Regions from separate parts of the Mus musculus genome. Here region 1 is reported to be linked to region 2. The links are microRNA targets in miRTarBase. Many come from high-throughput screens and were not tested one by one. Region 2 holds a microRNA gene; the other region holds the end of a gene's coding sequence.
What was found. Region 2 holds the annotated microRNA mmu-miR-760-5p (CCCCUCAGGCCACCAGAGCCCGG, at 1,741-1,763, shown strand). A microRNA usually pairs through its seed, bases 2 to 8, with sites in the 3' UTR of a target mRNA and lowers its output. Matches are read on the target gene's strand: a 7mer-m8 pairs with bases 2 to 8, a 7mer-A1 pairs with bases 2 to 7 and ends in A, and an 8mer does both.

Region 1: miRTarBase lists Iqgap2 as a target of mmu-miR-760-5p. Seed matches in the 3' UTR shown: 7mer-m8 at 1,008-1,014.

The regions. Positions count from the first base shown.
Region 1 is chr13:95,625,405-95,628,811 of GRCm38, reverse strand. Iqgap2 (IQ motif containing GTPase activating protein 2) reads left to right here. Exons shown (of 36, transcript NM_027711.1): 36 at 692-1,635. The coding sequence ends at 805. Among named protein-coding and RNA genes, the nearest start is that of F2r, 8.6 kb to the right of the region's middle.
Region 2 is chr3:122,292,005-122,295,411 of GRCm38, reverse strand. It overlaps Mir760 (microRNA 760), which reads left to right and starts at 1,709; the gene lies at 1,709-1,827. n-TRtct2 (a tRNA gene) reads left to right here and starts at 2,380; the gene lies at 2,380-2,464. It also overlaps Gm40190.

The DNA.
Region 1 (3,407 bases), not on the chromosome of region 2:
TGGTCTACAGAGTGAGTTCCAGGACAGCTAAGGCTACACAGAGAAACCCTGTCTCGAAAAAAACAAACAAAAAAACAAAAAAAAACCAGGGCTTCGAAAGCCCTGAGTTTAATTCCTGGAACTCAGATGGTGGAAGGAGAGAACTTTCACATGTTGTCCTCTGACCTCCACATGCATGGACGGACACACACACACACACACACACACACACACACACACAAAATTTTTTAATTGTAAGACTGAAATGAAAATCGTGTCTGATATTAACTGGATAATAATTTTCTTTCATGCAGTTTTTTTTCCCAGTGCTGAAGCTCAAGGCCAAAAGCTCTCACACACAAACTAGCTCTGTACCCCCAAATTATAACTGCAGCCCTCTCTCTATCATTAAAGTCATTTTCTTCCACGCAGAGCAGTAATTCTCTAAGTGTGTCCTGACCACAGCACCACTCACTGTCACTTAGGAACTTGTTAAAATGCAGCTCTCACCACAGAGCTGCCATAGCACAAGTCCCCAGGCCCAGGGCACGGGATTCCAAGTCCTAACTCACCTGTATTGTTAAGCCGACTAATGCTTTGGAAGCCACAGTGGGATTATTGGATCAGCCGGGTCTATTTCATCATTGATTCTTCCAGTCTGTTTTTAAGCAACGACGTCACACTGCGATGTCACCCTTCCCTCCCGTTCCAGGACTTACTTCAGATGCAGTATGAAGGGGTGGCCGTGATGAAAATGTTCGACAAGGTGAAAGTGAACGTGAACCTTCTCATATACCTGCTCAACAAGAAGTTCTACGGAAAGTGACGTGCCGTCTGCCGAGGGACTCGTGGATTCTCTATTGCCTGCCTTGAGAAATGGGCTTGTCTAGTATTTTTGTTTGAAAACATGATTGGAATCACGGCTTATAAGTGTCTGAATTTTTTTTAAGACCAAAACTGTTCTGAAGAATGTAGCCATGTGCCTTTTTGATAATTGGATACTGCAGCAGAGGGATAGACAAGATGGGCTGAGGGGACACACACACACACACACACACACACACAGTACTGTGGCACAGGTACTGCCTCGGAAAGTTCTGAATACCCTGTGATCTATTTTAAAGTAGGGGGGAGAAAGTTTAGCTGACTAGGGACAAATGTATAAACCTATTTTCCTATGAAAAGAAATTTTAAATGTCCCACTTAAATGATTAATTCTTCATAGATTGTTTTCTATCTGTGGAGAAATAGAGATCTAATTAATTTGTAATGAATTATTTAGACATAGAGTTCTAAGCCCTGTCTTCTGGGAATTATCAGTTTTAAAGAGAACTTTTGTGCAATTCCAAATGAAGTTTTTATAAGTAATTGAAAGTGATGATACAATAACACTTTCTGTATAAAAGTATATATTTTATGTGATTTATTCAATTTACTCCAAGTGCACTACTGCCTCATGGGAAGGCTCCTGTATGGGAGTCACAGGAAACACGGTGGACAGCAGGTATAGACCCCCACCTTCACCCGCACCATTTATTTGAATACTTCAATTGTGCCTCTCAATTTTTTTGTAATGCTATCAAATCAGTATCCAGATGGTTTTTAAATGTATTCTTTGAAAATTGTTTTATGTAAAATAAATGTTACTTAATTACATGAATGTGGTAGAGTTTTTTTTTGGGGGGGTGTTTTAATAAGTCCAATTTACTTAGTGGGTAGAAGACTCTTGGTGGGACTCATCAGGGAAAGAAGTCATATACCCAGAGCTGTGCAGATTAGGGTACAGAGAAAGCTGCTGCAGGAGGGGACACGGGACTTCAAGTTCGACCATCCGTAGATGAGCTGATCCACAGGCAATCTAGAGATCCAGTCAGCCTTGTACTTACCACTCATCCCAAGCCGAGGCGGGGAGAGGGGCTGAAGGTCAGAACAAATCTCTTTGAATTACAAAGGTCACGCTTGCCTCCTTCCTGTTGGCTAATAGTAGGTTCCAGCCAGCTAGAGTCCTCACCTCAGTCTGTTTTGTATGGTTATAACGAAATGTGCTTGTAGCTGGGCACTCTGTAAGACAGAAATGCTCATTTAATTCCAAGTTCTTGAGGGCTCTGATAAGGGCAGCAGCTGCTCATATTCCATAATAGTACATGAGGAAGAAATGAAGCACCCAGGGGCCAAACCACCCTTTCCCATGGGTCGCCTAAGACCATCAGAAAACAGAATATTTACACTATGACTCATAATGTATTATAAAATTCAGGTATGAAGTAGCAATAATATGATAATTGTATGGTTGGGGGTCACCACAGCACGAAGAACTGTATTAAAGGGCCGCAGCCTTGGGAAGGCTGAGAACTACTGCTTTATAGAACAATCCACTCTGCCCCCAAGCCCTAATCCAGCCTCTTGAAGACACTACTCTATTCATGAAGTTAGAACTCCTACGGTTTAATTAACCGTTAAAGGTCCCACCATCTCCCAACATCTTTATTGAGACTCAAGCTTAAAGATGGGTTCAATACACAGTCCAAACTGCTGCGGTGGTCTCTAGGCCACTAAGAATCCAGTTAAAACAAGCAGTGAAGAGAGAACGATCTGTTATTGAAAGAAAGAGAAAGCATAGTAGGAGTTTGGGCCTTTGGGCTAGACCTTCCCCAACACCTTACTCATTTATTGAACAGGTTTTATTTTCCTTAGGGATTGTAAAATCTGCTTATTAGAGAAAAATGAACTTAAGTTTAAAATCAACATAATTTGGAAAATTCTCAGAAAGTAGAGTCCTATTTTTTATAATTTATTTTTATTTTATGTGCATTGATGGTTTGCCTGCATGTATGTCAGTGTGAAAGTGTCCGATCTTGGAGTTATAGACAGTTGAAAGTTTCCGTGTGGTTTCTGGGAATTGAACCTGGGTCCTTTGAAAGAGTAGTCAGTGCTCTTAACCACTGAGCCATCTCTCCAGCCCCAGAATCCTCTATTTTTCATAGCTGTTTCAGACTACATTGTTTTTTCAATGTTTACAGTTTCTATGTGTATGAGAGTATTGACCTCATACGTGCATGTGCCCCCTGTGCATGCCTGGTGTCTATAGCTGTCACAAGAGGGCATCAGACCCCCTGGCACTGGAGCTAAGGACAAGCCATTGTGTGGGAAATGGGAATTGAACCTGGGTCTTCTGCAAAAGTAACAATTGCTGTGAACTGCTGAGCCATCTCTCTAGCCCCAAGCAACATATATTCTTGACAAATACTGCAGAACAATTCTATCACAACAATTGATAACCCTGGGAGTAGTTTGTTTTTGTTGTTTTGTTTTGTTTCACTTACACATCATTAGCCTTAATGTGACTCTTAGTAGAAGCAATCGGGTAAGTTTCATCTTAAGAGCAAATTTTCCTCTTCCTACAGCCAGTATTGGGGAAAGGGTGCTTT
Region 2 (3,407 bases):
CCGTAGGACCTTGTCTTAAATGCTTCACACAAGCATGGTTCCCCCATAATCTCTGCTAATGCTGTCTCAGTCTTGCTGCTCATAGATGAGAATGTTTAGGTCTCAACCAGCGGAAGGCATGAACTATCTCCAACTCTTTAGTTCATTATGATTACCTGCACATCTCTCCTTAGCATATGCTTTATTGTTCCTTCCTTAGAACTTGGAGTATGAGTCACAATCGCTAAGCACGTCCACGACGCCGCAGAATTGGAGATTTTGCACCAACGCTTCCAGGTAAAATTTCTTTGTATTGTTTTCACAGCGAGCATTGAGTGTCTCTTTCCCTACGCGAGCCGTAAACAAGTATTAAGAACCACTGGAGCCCTTGAGATGTCACCAGCGAGTAACATATTGCAGCCTTCAGTAAAGATACTGTTTATAAAGAGCTGGTTTTAATGTATTGTTCTATTTCAAGGGGTATTGGCCATTTTAAGAGGCATAACAATGTTTAAGACCCTTGTTGTTAAGGAAAGTGCTCTTATGGAATGAAATAGGCCTGGCATCAGACAGAACTCTGTCACTGTAGAGGCAAGTCACCAGCAGTGTCATTTCATGCTCTTGGTGGGTATGCCAAGAACGCCAGGCCAATCACTTTCTTTGGGCCCTATTTCAGAGTTGTGTTTGCAAGGAGCAATTCTGAGATGAGGTAATGTCTCCCGACAGAACAAAGAACAGGCTTGCTTGCCGCTCACCATAAAACATAGTAGTTTCTGAGCTCAGCAATCCTCGCCTGTAATGAAAACCATTTTGTGTGCAAGCATGCATCTGGGGCCCATATGCCTTGTTCCTCAGAGAATCCGAGTTCAGGGAACTCATAAACATGCTGCCCCTCTGGCTACTGCTTTTGTCGTCAATAGTCCACACGTGTTCTGTCAATATCGATAAAGCCGTGAAAGATAATGTAATCAGCCTGCAAGGTAGAATAAAGTCTGACTCTTTATAGTTTGCCTCACTAGCTGGGGTACTCCTATGTGTGTGATTTAACTTACTGTAGCTGCGGTTTTCCCTTCGATAATGGGGACGCTGATACTTACCCCTTAATATAAAAATGCCCTTCCCCACTGAGAATTTCCTCTCCCCCTTTAGCGAACCGTGCGAGGCAAAGACCCTATCCTTTGATGGCCAATTCTGCCTGGCAGAGACCACCCGGTGGGCACAGACGGAAGCTGGTTTGGTGCAGAGGTGTCAGCGTCAGGTCGCACCACGCGAGTCCTAAGAAGGCGGGGTCGAGAGAGCCGCACGCTGATTGGAGCCGGAGCCTGGGCTTTTGTCTGGCAGCGGCCGTTGCCTAGCAACTGGGCTTTTATTATTTAGCTAGTTCTCTTCCCTCGGGCTTCGGGGTCGCCCTGATGGAGATGGGGAGGGGATTAGGGAACCGAAGACCCACTCCCTCCCACGCCGCCGCTCAGATTCGCGGCGACCCCGCCCTTCTGAGCAAAGAAATGCGGGGTCCAGCGCTGGCACCGGGCGGGTGGGGGATGTGGGGACCCCGCCATCACGCTCGGCCGCGCGCCCTGCAGCCGAGGCGCTCGCACCCGCGCGATCCCCACCCGCGCCGTCCGCCTCCAGAGGCCGCCCACTCGGACGCGCGTGGGGCGCGCGCGGGCATCGGCGGCTGCGCGGCTCGGCCGCTCCTCGGCGGCGGCGGCATAGTGGATAAAGCTCCCGGGAGGATGCCTCGGTGCGGGGCGCGTCGCCCCCCTCAGGCCACCAGAGCCCGGATACCTCAGAAATTCGGCTCTGGGTCTGTGGGGAGCGAAATGCAACCCAAACCCCGTTTCCCCGAAGCCCCGCGCAGATAAACACGCACAAGCACGCACACAGACGTCGCCTCGGCCCGCACTCGCAGCCGCAGGTCCAGGCGTCAGGGAAGAGCCCGGGGGCCCCGCGATGGGTCGCCGCCTTCGCCTCGTAGCCCCGGGCGCGGCCGCTCGCCCTCGCCTCTCGCAGGTGGCGACAGAAGTGCCCGGCGCGACGGCGCAACGGCCGGTCTGGGCCTGCAGCCTCGGCGGCCCGGGCCGGAGGGGAGCGGCCTCCGGACACCGGTAGGCGGGGTTGCGGGGCAGGCGGGGAGCCGGGGAGGGACAGGCGGAGTCGGCCACGGACGACTGGCTCCCGCTGCGCTTTCCCGACCCACGGCCCGCAGCCGCGGCCCTTGAGCTGAGCAGCGGCGGTTCCCGGGCGGCTGGGCGCTCGCCGGCCTCGCCGTTACCGTTGGAGGTGACCTAGGCGCGGCGGGTGGGCTCCGGCGACGGAGGCGGCCGCGATGGTGTCGGCCCGGGAGCAGGGCCGTTGCCTCTAGCTTAATACGGCAGATGCGCGGAACCTCCAACAGGTGGCTCCGTGGCGCAATGGATAGCGCATTGGACTTCTAGAGGCTGAAGGCATTCAAAGGTTCCGGGTTCGAGTCCCGGCGGAGTCGGAACATTTTTCTTTTGTCACCGAGGAAATTATCTTTGATTTCTGTCTTTTACTCCTTTTCTTTGTATTCTAAACGGCTTAATTCCCAGCACAGCCACACACCATTCCCGCTGCTCTCCGCAACCCTTACCTGGAGTTCCGGGAGCTTTCAGACCCCTTTAGCAGACCCGGACCGATCCCAGTCGAGAGAACAGGGAGGCAGTAGAGAATCCAGGTGCTCGACCTTGGCCTAAATGAGAGCTTGAGATAGGCCTGGGTCTCGAGTGACATTCCACGTCTGGAGCTTGACAGTGACTGCCAGCAGGGTCAAGAAAACAGGATGCGCAAGCTAGTCCGAAGGCATTAGAAGTACACCACCTCACCTCACCCCACCCCGCCTCCGGAATCTCGAGTGGATCTTGTTTTGTTTTTTTGTTTGTTTGTTTGTTTTGTTTTTTAAAAAAGGCAGATCTCTGTGGTCATTTCATGATTCCATTTCGGTGGATCTGGAATGGGGCCCAGAAATCTGCATTTCTGGGGTTGTCTGCTTTCTTCACGAAAGGAGACAGGTTGGAGTTGACAGGCTTTGCCTGCCAGCTAGAGGCAAGAGTTACTGTCTTGTCCCCTTCTGACAAGTGACAAAACTAGCTTTGCACAGAGTGAGCGTTTCACTTCACCAAGTGCCAGTATGCATAGTTTTTAAAAATTCACTGTACCGACAAAACCCCTAATTTATGCAAACCGTTAAAAAAATCAAAATTGTCGGTAAAAACACACTTTCACAGTATATTTCACCTCTTTCGGTTAATACAGGTGGAGCTGCACTGCTCGGTTGTGTCCCGCTGATGGAATAGCTAATACTTAGACCTTTAGACAGGCATTGTTCGCCCATTGCAGTCCTTGAGTGGACATCCTGTTCTTTGTGCACAAGTGTATCTTTACAATAGATTCCTAGGAAGTTGGAC